3 linked regions of the Coturnix japonica genome follow. The main gene of each other region encodes a partner of the protein of the gene in region 2 in a complex. Links are inferred from orthologs where the notes say so. Each region holds a gene or a part of one and is shown on either strand. Other genes may lie near its edges. The genes, in order: POLD4, POLD2 and REV3L.

Region 1 (2,967 bases), on a different chromosome or scaffold from region 2:
CGGGGGACGGGGCGAGCGTGGAGGCGGCCCCCCCAGGAGCACGGCCCAGGTCCCGGCCGTGCCGCGTGGTGCGACAGGCCAGCGTAGATGGAGACCGCGACCCTGCGGAGGACAACGGCCCGTAGCGCGCAGCGGGTCAGCGGGCACAGCCCCCCCGTTGTCCCGTAGCACACAGCGGGGGCACCGGGCACAGCCCCCACCCGGGCAGCGCTGCGAGCAGCGTGTGGACCTGCGGGGGGGCGGGGCCTGGGGAAGCCACGCCGCTCCGTACGCACTTTGTCACCTTAAGCCGCCACCACCGGCACCGCCGGGCACAATAAACCTTGCGGACGGACGTGGGCCGTGTGCGGAGCCGTGTGTGCCGGGACAGGCGGCCCAGCTCCGCGGAGCCGCCGCAAACTACAATCCCCAGCGGGCCGTGCGCGCCGCCGCCGGTTCCGCCCCGTTCTCCCGTGCTCGCGGGGCACGACGGGAAGTGTAGTCTCGGCGCCGCCGCGCCATCTTACGAGCGATGCGGGCGGGCGCCTTCCCGGTTGCCGTGAGAACCAGGCGCCGGCCCCGGCCCGCACTTAGCGCAGTTAACGCAGTTAACGCACTCACCGCTTTATTCACAGAGCGGCGCTGCGTGCCGGTACCGCGGTGCCGTCCCGGAGCCGCCCGTCCTGCCGTCCGCTCACAGGCCGTACTCGTGCCATAGGCTGCGGGCACAGCGCACGGTCAGTGCACGGTCAGCCCGCCGCCCCGGCCGCCCCCACCCTCGCCCCGCACCTGTACGTGACGGCGGGGTCGTGCCGGTGCTCCAGGAGGGCGTCGCGGATGGCGGCGGGCGGGCTGAGCCCCAGCGCCCGCGCCCGCTCCCAGCGCTGCAGCCGGGTGATGCCTGCGGGGAACGGGCAGCCGTGAGCGGCGGGGAGGGTCGGGCCGGGGGTCGGGGTTCGGTGCGCGGCGCCGGGGTCTCACCGGTGCAAGGCCCGTACTCCCAGGCCAAGTCGAATTGCCGCAGCATCTCCAGCAGCTCCCGCGAGGCGGTACCGGGCGCTGGGGGGGGGTCCCGGGCGTCCTCCGTTGCGGGGCGTGGGGAATCCGGCGGGGGCGATGCCGGCGGGACCCCCCGGTGCCGCCCCTTTCCGCCGCGCCCCCGCCGCGCTCCGCTCCGCTCTTTGCCGTCGGCGCGTGTCGCCGCGCGGTGCCGCCGCGGAAAGCTGTCGGTGATGCGCCCGGTGCGCTCCATTCCCTGCGGGGCGGCGGCGGTTCCAGCCCCGCTCGGCTCCGTCCGGCCCCGCGTTCGCCGCCCGCCGTTCCCCGTCCCCCGGCTCATCCCGCTCTGGCAGCACCGCCAGACGCCGCTGTGGTCCGGCGGGCAGCAGGCGGGGCGGTTCGGGTCCGGTTTCGGTTTCGGTTCGGCTGTATTTGCTTTGGAGGCCGTTTTTCTTTAATCTTTTTTAGTGTTGTTGTATCTTTATGTGCTGTCGGGACGTTCCGTCTCGGTTTGTTGGGTCGGGTCGTTTATTGGCGCTTCGCTTTTTGCAGCCGGAAAGGTTCGGCTGTTCACGTTGCTCACGGTTGGTCCCTTGTTTATTTTTCTCTCGGCCCTTCTCGGCTCGTTGCCGTTTCTCTCTCGTTCCCTTTTCACTTCGCAGCGGGTTCATTTTCGCTTCGTTTGCTTTTATTGACACGTTTCTCCCCGGTGCGCTCAGGGCGCAGCCCGCGCCAGTGCAGGGTTGTGCAGCACGAAGCGGCACAGCCCCGGCAGCCGCCGGTGCCCCAGCTCCTCCTGCAGCCGCTGCATGCCCCGGTTCCCCGTGGCCGTGTGACCGTACACCGGGAAGCCGCGGCCGTGCGACCGCCGGGCGGCCATGATCGTCAGCGCCCGCATCAACCCGCGGCGCCGCTGGGCCGGCACCGTGTAACCGTGCGCTCCCGCTGCGAAGCCGTCGCTCAGCACCCAGCACAGCAGATCCCCGGCCAGGTCCTGCAGGCACAGGTACGGGAACCGGAGCAGCAGCTCCCCCAGGTAGCGCCGGCTCCACTCGTTTCCCCCGTACGGCCACGTCGAGTCCAGCAACTCCACGTGTGCCGGGTTCAGTGTGCCCAGCTGCATGTCGGGGTCCAGCCTGCACCGGGGAGGGACAGGAAAACGGGGATGGGGGGGGTTAAGGTTATGGTTACAGTTAGTGTCCACGTTAGGGGTAAGGTTATGGTTACAGTTAAGGTTAAGATTGGGATGGGGACATGGATTGGGATGGGACTGGGACCTGACCGTGGCTGGGGATGGGATGGGGCTGGGGACACAAATGGGATGGGTTAGAGTGAGCACTAGTTACATTTAGGATTAGCATTAGAACAGATGTGGCCACGGATGTGTATGAGATGGACACGGGGCTTGGATGGGTGCTGGATAAGTTTGGGGATGTGTACGGAATGGGGCAAGACTGAGTTGGGGAGAGGGCTGTGGACAGGAATGGGATGAGGTACAGGATAGGAACCGGAATGGAAACAAGGAAACACAAGCAGACAGGGACTGGGATGGGACACAGGGGGAGATGGGGCTGAGGCTCACTGTGGCTCCGGTAGAGTGCTGGGGTCGGGGTGCAGGTACGTGTAGTACTCGGTCACCTCCAGCTCCACGCCCTTGGCCAAAGCGATGTCCTGGGACACGGTCAGCACGCCATCCTGCAGCCCTGGGGGTGGCAGCAGCAGGGTTCTGCTCCCCCATGTTCCCCCACCGTGCCCCACACGCTCCCAGCACCACCCGTTCCTGATACAACCTCCCGCCCCCGTCCCCCCTCGTTCCTCCCGTGTCCCTGCGGTTGTCCCCACAGCCACCGAAGATGTGGAACGCGGAGTCCCAGCGCAGGCAGCCCGGGCTCTCCAGCAGGGCCCGGTAGGCGCCCAGGTCCCAGTAGAAGGCGCTGTTCAGGTTCCTGTAGCTGTCATTGAGCGGTGCCTGCGGGGTGGGATGCTGAG
Region 2 (4,161 bases):
GCTGATGTTTTGCCCTGACGTCCCCAAAAACCTGTATTTTGAGGGTGGATCTGTATTCAGTGCAACCTGCAGCACAACCCCACACCACCAGCGGCATCCCAGCCTCGGTGACACTGTGCCTCACCGGACGCCATCTATGTCAGCCTGGTAGGGGTTGGTGACGAGCTGCAGCGTGGGGTAGGCGCTGGAGAGGGGCAGCATGCAGCGGTGCAGAGGCTGCTGCGGCAGCGTGTAGTTGGTGGGGTCAAACTCTCCGGGCATCACGTCCACAGGCACGGAGCTCTGCAGGCAGAGTGAGGCTGTTGGGGGCCTGCGGGGCTGCGGGGGCCGCTCTGCCAGCCCAGGCACTCACGCAGAACTGCAGCAGGATCTCATCCAGCATCTTCACCGCCTCCACGCTGGCAGCCTGTGTTTTCTTGGTCAAATACTTGGCCTGCGGCAGTGAGGATGCGGTGAGGAGCACGATCTCTCTCCATCCCTCCCTCCCACCTACCGGCCCCCCCCACTCTCCCCATACCTTGTGCAGGCTGTCCCGGCTCTGTGTGCTCTGGCTCAGAAGGTTCCCGGCCAGCAGGACACGGGAGATGAGAGCAGCGCAGCTCTGCTGGCCCTCAGCACCCAGCTGCCCCGTCACCGCATCCACCAGCAGCTGTGTGCCCAGCAGGGACTCGCCGCTGCCGCTGCCCAGCCCCAGCCCCGACGCCAGCAGCACAAACCTGGGCGGGGGGCAGGCAGAGGACTGCAGCCCCCATCGTGTCCCTCAGGATGGATGGGATGAATGGCTCCCAGGGCCACGTGGAGACACAATGGGGACACGACAGGAACTCACCTATCGGTGCTGGGACCGCACCACGGCAGCTGTGGGGGCAGGTGGGCAAAGCAATGCTCCTCCACCAGGAACTTCCCATCCTCCTGCTCGTGGCCGTACACAGCCAGCACGGTGCCTGCAGCGGGTGGGGGGACACTCAGCCTCACCATCACCATCTGGGCCACCACCGCCCCACCGCCGTCCCCTACCTGTCACCAGCCTCGATGCCTCGATGTTCCCCGTCAGCTTGATGCGCTGCAGCTCGTCCTCCAGCACCAGCTCGTCCGACGGGTCCACGTACTTGGCCAGGGGGGGCTGCGGCACCAGGTTGTGCTGGAGGGTGGGGAGGACGAGAGCGAGACCCCCGGTTCAGTGAGGCTCACGGCCTGTGCTGGGGCTGCTCTCCAGCTGCTTTCACTTAGTGCGCAGCCAGCACGGCAGCCAAGGAGGAAGCGGTGGGGAGGGGGGGGTGCTCAGCCCTACCTCCTCATTGATCTCCTGCAGGATGGAGGGCTGCAGCCGCATGGCCTTGAACAGCGTCCCCACCACGCAGCACCGCTCCCCTGTCTGCAGCTCACACAGCTTCCGCAGCAGCACATTGTCACCTGCGGGGCCGGGAGGTTCAAACAAAACCATGACACATCGCTGCCCCTGGCACCGTGCTGAGGCTGCTCCATAAAACACCCCCATGGAGCTTCCAGGCCTCCAGAGCAAACCCCCCATCCCACAGTGCTGGGAAAGCGGCCATGGAAGGGTGTAAGGGCGACCCCGGGGTGTGTCACCATGCTGGGGTTTGGGGTGGGAAGGACGAGGATGAGTGAGAGGGGACGGGGGGACAGAGGGGACGGGGGGACGGGGTGGGATGAGGGGGGTGATGGGGGCTGGGAACAGCAACAGCAACGTTAGGAATGGGAGTATGTGGGTATGGGGGTATGGGGGTATGGGGGTATGTGGGTATGGGGGTATGGGGGTATGGGGGTATGTGGGTATGGGGGTATGTGGGTATGGGGGTATATGGGTATGTGGGTACGTGGGTACGTGGGTACGGGGGTATGTGGGTATGGGGGTATGTGGCTGCCTGGGGGCAGGAATCAGCTGAACCCGGAGCTCCATCCAGCTGCAGCCCCACTGTGTGCATTGGGGGGGGTCAGTGTTCCCAAATGAGAAGCAGAGCCCAGAAACGTGCGGTGGGACAGTGGGGGGATGGGACGGGATGGGGGGTGCACCGGGGGGAGGTAACGGGGCGATAACGGGGCGATAACGGGGCGATAACGGGGGTGGGGGTCTCGGGGGTCTCACCCCATCGGCTCCGTGCCCGCCGCTCCAGGCGGGGCCTCATTCCCAGCAGCCTCGTGCTGTACAGATGCGCGTATTGTCGGGCGAAGCTGCGCTCCCCCAGGCGGAACGGAGCGGAACGGTCCGACACGGAGCTGAGCGAGCGGGGGAACGGGGCGGGGGCGGCGGACGGAGCGGACAGAAGGGACTGAACCGGGACCGGCGGGAACATGGCGGGGCTGGGGGGGAACGGGGGGTCAGGGACACCGGGATGGGACCCGGAACCACACCGAGTAACACCCCACGTGACCACCGGTACCGAGTAACACCCCACGTGACCGCCGGTACCGAGTAACATCCCACGTGACCACCGGTACCGAATCCCCCCCCCACCGGTGACACGTGACCCCCCGGTCCCCTCTCACGACCCCTCCCCCCCCGGTTGCCCCCGTTACCCGCACTGTGACCACGTGACCCTCCCAACTGCCCCCGTTACCCAAACTCCCCCCTCAGCCCCCGGTACCGGACCCCCATAAATCACCCCCGGTACCGGACCCCCCCCACATCCGGTTCCCACACGGTGCCGTACGGGGTCAGAGGTCAGAGGTCACGTGGTGACGGCCGTCTGCACACGGCCCGTGTCGCACCGGGGGGGGCACCGAGTGGCGCCAACACGGGCAGCGGAAGCGGCGAACCCGCGCGGCGGAAGTGACGTCAGAGCGGCGGCGCCATGCTGACCGCTGTTGCCATGGTGACGGTGAGGCCTGGTCCTGGGTCCCACGGCCCGCGGGGTGAGCGGCGGGACCACGTGACCTGCGGGCAACAAACAAACCAACATGGCGTCACGGGCCGAGCAGGGACATGGAGCCGCCGTGCCCACAGTGACACAACGACACAGTGACACAACGACACAGTGACACAGTGACACAACGACACAGTGACACAACGACACAGTGACACCGCCGTGACGAGCGGGGCGGAGGTGTGAGATGTGTGAGATGTGTGAGCTGTGGGGCGGTGTGAGATGTGGGGCGGGGGTGTGGGGCGAAGCGCTCGGTCCGTGCCCATTTTAAGGCCTCGTTGTGTTTCCTTCACGCTGAGTGGCTCCTTCGGCCCCACCGCGGGGTTATAAAGGCGGGTGGGACGCGCTGAGCTGCGCTACGGGGCGACATGGCGGCTGCGATCATCGTCATGATGGCAATGGGGGCCGGTATGGGGCGGATATGGGGGGACATGGGATGGGAACGGGGGGCTGTGGGGTCAGGGGGGGACATGGAGGTGGTGGATATAAGGACATGGAGGTGGATATGGGGATATAGAGGGGGTGGATATGGGGACATGGAGGGGGTGGATATGGGGACGTGGGGTCAGGGGGGATGGGGGTGTTCAATGGGGCCGGAGGTTGCTATGGGGCAGCGTGGTGACCCCTTCCATCTCCAGTGTTGCAGGTGGTGGTGACTGAGCCGCCCCACGATGACCAACGGGACGTGGCTGCTGGGAGCCCCTGGGAGCAGCAATGGCAGCTGCTGCAGGACGGCTCGGCCGTGGTGAGGATGCGCCCTGGTTGTGGGGCACGTTGTGGGGCAGCCCCGTGTAGGGTTGGAGCGTGGGGCGGGAGGGTGGGTGGCAGCGCTCTGAGGGTCTGTGCTGTGCCCACAGTGGGATGAAGGGGACGCAATGGGACCAGGCAAGATGAAATGCAGCGCCTGCGTCAAACTGGTGAAGAAGCTGCAGAAGATCGTTGGTGACGACCCCGATGAGGTGAGTGGGGCTGTGAGTGGGGGGTCCTGGCAGGGTCAGGGGGCCCAGTGGCTGCAGCCCCACTAACACCCTGGGGCCGGGACCCACAGGAGGCCATTGGCACAGCACTGGGCCAGGTCTGCGGTACGAAGAGAATCCTGAAGGGGATCTGCAGGCAGCTGGGGAAGAAGCTCCGGCAGCAGCTCAGCGACGCGCTGCAGGACGACAGCGATCCCCGCTCTGTGTGCACCACCCTGGGGCTGTGCAAGGGCTGAGCGCGGCCAGAGCCCACATCCTGTGCCCCACATCCTGTGCTGCAGCCCCACATCCTGTGCCAC
Region 3 (3,649 bases), on a different chromosome or scaffold from region 2:
GCCACTATAGTCCTGTTCTTATATTGGGAAATGGGTTTTGGTTGTGTCGTTGTTTCTGGCAGAGACTTCTGTTTTACAGTTTCAGGTTTAAAATGCGACATTTCCAAAATAAATCCTCTCTGTTTTTGATCCCAATTTAGTTGTTTCACTGGACTCTTCAAAGAGGTTACAAAACAGTTCTTAGGCAACTGAAGAGGCCCCGGACTTTCCTCAGATGACTTAGGAACAGAATTAGAAGGATCAGAATGCTTGGATGCCTCTGGTATACAAAAAATCTGCTGCTGATTATTGTCTTTACAATGCAAATAGCTAGTGGAATGCAACTGATCCACCTTCATTGAGTCTGAAGACTCACGAGCTTCACTTAATTTCCCAGCTGATGGTAAATACCTGTGTTGCAAATTTTTTATCTCTTCTGCTTTTACAAGGGTCTTATCTTTAGAGATGCACACATTCTGTGTTACCTGAGTTGAGTGATTAGATGAGTCAAATATGTTTTTAACAAGAGCAGATTCCTTCATTCTAAATACAGCACTTTGAGTCCTGGGCCTTTGAGAGCTCACTTTCAGTACTTCTCTTCCGGATGCCACAGAAGTTGATGTGAGAGATGAATGAGGGTCTTCTCGTGGAGCAGGCAAACACTGTGCATCTAAAGGCTTATCAACTTCCATCAATGAATGAAAACAGTCTGATGAATTACCTTGTGTATCAGCTGCTGAGGGAAATGGTGCTGATGGCAGATACCCTGCTGTAAAGCCAGGAAGAGGACCATCTCTCCGATGATGAAGCGGCTGCGAGTTGTAAGACATCTCAGGCAGATCTTGATGTTTCAGCACAAACTTCACTTCTGTGGTTGAATGATTATTTCCTTTTTCATCTTTAAAAACCATGCGTTTTCTTGAGGACATTTTTTCTGTTGTTTTCTGTCTTTGTTTCGTTCTAGGCTTCTTCTTTCCATCATCTGCTGTTTTATCACTCTGATTCATCTTTTTCTTTTTCTTTGTAGATACAGTGGGGCTAGCAAATTTCTTTTTACATTTCTTAACCTGAGTTTTTGCTCGACTATTTTTTCCTACATTAGAATTAACAGTCCTGTTGTTGTACATACTACCCCTACTATGTAAAGCTTCTCTGTCCAGGTTGGTCAAAATTTCTTCTGCTTTTGGATCAGTGGGAGACCAGCAGCGAGGTGGCGATGTGTTTACTGGGCTTGTGCTTCTCTCAGAAAGAAAACCTAATTTAGACATAACATCACTATAGTTATAGTCACAGTCTTCAGCTTCAGCATTATAGGATGGTGAAGGAGGAGAAAGAATTGTGTGAGTCCTTTTCCTGAAAGATAAAGTTCTTTTAATATTATTTTTACTACCTGTTCTTTGCAGTTTTCCAGCTTTTTTCTTGGTTGACTTATGTTTCGCTTTTCTTTTGTGACTTTTCTTTGGTGTTAGTGGATAAATAGGATATTTGGTTGCAGGAGAGTCAGGAACTTTTGGCCAAAAGTCTTTTAAAGGTGCAAGCTTTCTATATAAATTCATCTTTTCTTCTGTGAGTACCACTCTTTCCTCAGTAGAATCTACTTTCCCTAGTTTAACAAGCATATTTTTTCTCCCTCTAAATCTATTGATGATAATATATTTAATAATAACAGGTGGCAGTTTTTTAGAAAGTCTTCTACGTTTTCGAGACTTCTGAGACCCATCCAAACTTTCAACACTATCTATTGGTTGAGGTAGATTAATTTTTGAGTTGTGTGCGACAAAGCTTGATTCACTGTCTTCAGTCTCATAATTTACCTTTCGTTTAGTTCGGAGTGTGTATTTATTTCCACATAATCCAAACGACTGCTCAGTTTCAAGAGATCCATCTCCCATCTGGCAGTCAGTACAATGAGCAGTACTTGTAGGCATTTTGTTTTCAAAAGCCTCAAGAGGAACTTGGACTAAGTCGCTAGGTAAAGCACTATCCTTATCAGGAATATTACTACAAGCATTACCTTGTGTATAGCAGCTTTCCTTCACTGATACAACATCACTCACAGTTGCGGGCTCCTGATGATTGATAAAACTATATTTCTTTTTATTCAGCTTCAACCTGGACTGTTTGTTGCCTTGGTGTAATTTATACGTCACAGGAGCTAACTTTTGTGGTCGGCTAAGACAGTTTGAAAGAACAACACTAGGAAAGAACATATAATGTGCTGCTTGTTGACTGAGACTTGGCTTTTCTGCTTTATGCTCCTGAAATTCTTCATACCTAATTTTAAGCTTATTAAGGCCACCTTCATCAGTGTTGTTTTCAAGTGAATGAACAACAGTTCGGCTGCCTCCTGAACAGGACACCAATTCACAATTTTCTGTAACTGTTGCTGGAAAAAAACTATTTATACTTGCGCTGCTGGCTTTTTCATTTAGTTCAGAGGATATTTTACCTTTGGAGTGGCCAGAGTGGCTCAAATCAGAAAAGTTAAAAGAATTTTTATTCAATATGCTGTCACCAATGTGGCGGCCCACGTGCATAAAAGAGACATCCTTCTCAGTCTTTCTGATGCTAGTATACTTCCTGCTAGGTATCTGTCTGCTGACTGATGAAATATCATCTTCATACTCAAAAATATTATTTTCACATGAAGGAACTGGGAGAGTATCTTTCTTGTTACTCTCTTTATGTGAATTTTCTGCATGGGTACTATTGCTGAATGATGTTGGGTACTTTGCTGTGTAAGTGCTTTCTTTTGTAAGAGAATGAACTGAAAGTTCAGGTCTTGTTTCTGTGTTTGGTTGCGAGAGGTCTTCTACTAAATCTTCGTTATTCAAAACGTGGTTAGAAAGGGCACTTGTGTGTTTACACTGAAAAGTAATTTTAGCAGAAGACGGGGGTTCTAGCGTAGCAGCATCTTTGTGAAAGATTGAGGTCTTTACAGACATTTTGCTTGTTGCAATGACGGAGGAGTGAGTTCGAGAACTTTCATTATTCAAAGGATTGTCTGAAATGGAAGACAAGCAATTTTACTCTAGTTTTCCTGTAAAAAAAGAATAACTAAGCTATTAATTATTTTAATGATATTTTCACAATAGCCCCCCCATACCAGAACAGTACTCTTCTAACTCACATTCCAATTATGATCATGACAACTACAGGCTCCAAGTACATGAGTTACTTTATCAAAATTACATCATTAATACATTTGTGTCTTAAGATATTCTGTCAGTTACTTATAAATTAAGGACTTGAATACATTTCCCATAGATTTCTCAATGATTTGCTTAGAGAAAACTTCAGAAATCATTTTCAGAAAGCTAAATACAAAGACATTAACTTTTAAAAAAGCTTGTATCCTGCTTTGTCCCTGAGAAGCATGCATGCTTCCTGCTTCTGAAAAGGAAAATAACATACAGGCAAAGTATGATCTTACAACAGCAAGGGCTTTGTATCAACCATCCTGTGCAATAAGTGTAAGACAGTTTGCTGTACTTTTAAAGCAGAGCAGTCCAACACCCATTCAGGTGTGTATATGAGGAGCTTGCTCCATTTAGTTAGATCATGAATTCATACCCATGATTACTATTTCCACAAAGTTCTACAACCAGCACACGCTGAGGTACTTGTGCAGTGAAGACTCATGGTGTGATAAATAGGACTATTTCTCTCT

The links.
Region 1: POLD2 (region 2) and POLD4 share a complex: the UniProt entries of both Homo sapiens proteins name them as parts of the tetrameric DNA polymerase delta complex. The link is inferred for Coturnix japonica from reciprocal best matches to the Homo sapiens genes POLD2 and POLD4.
Region 3: POLD2 (region 2) and REV3L share a complex: the UniProt entries of both Homo sapiens proteins name them as parts of the tetrameric Pol-zeta complex. The link is inferred for Coturnix japonica from reciprocal best matches to the Homo sapiens genes POLD2 and REV3L.

What each region holds. Positions count from the first base shown.
Region 1 is NC_029520.1:154,619-157,585, forward strand, and holds POLD4 (DNA polymerase delta subunit 4), read right to left. Parts: upstream 1,518-2,967; 5' UTR 1,319-1,517; coding exon 961-1,318; intron 881-960; coding exon 769-880; intron 699-768; coding exon 674-698; 3' UTR 583-673; downstream 1-582. Other genes in the region: SSH3 (protein phosphatase Slingshot homolog 3), read left to right, coding at 1-125; glycine N-acyltransferase-like protein 3, read right to left, coding at 1,694-2,114, 2,561-2,681, 2,827-2,947. UniProt on the Homo sapiens protein: As a component of the tetrameric DNA polymerase delta complex (Pol-delta4), plays a role in high fidelity genome replication and repair.
Region 2 is NC_029537.1:62,785-66,945, forward strand, and holds the start of POLD2 (DNA polymerase delta subunit 2), read right to left. Parts: upstream 2,806-4,161; 5' UTR 2,673-2,805; exon of another isoform or gene 2,661-2,672; intron 2,323-2,660; 5' UTR 2,316-2,322; coding exon 2,108-2,315; intron 1,414-2,107; coding exon 1,292-1,413; intron 1,142-1,291; coding exon 1,018-1,141; intron 945-1,017; coding exon 830-944; intron 717-829; coding exon 518-716; intron 434-517; coding exon 353-433; intron 283-352; coding exon 125-282; intron 32-124; coding exon 1-31. Other genes in the region: antimicrobial peptide NK-lysin, read left to right, coding at 3,254-3,293, 3,524-3,630, 3,743-3,844, 3,934-4,098. UniProt on the Homo sapiens protein: Accessory component of both the DNA polymerase delta complex and the DNA polymerase zeta complex.
Region 3 is NC_029518.1:60,208,754-60,212,402, reverse strand, and holds part of REV3L (DNA polymerase zeta catalytic subunit), read right to left. Parts: intron 2,984-3,649; coding exon 1-2,983. UniProt on the Homo sapiens protein: Catalytic subunit of the DNA polymerase zeta complex, an error-prone polymerase specialized in translesion DNA synthesis (TLS). Lacks an intrinsic 3'-5' exonuclease activity and thus has no proofreading function.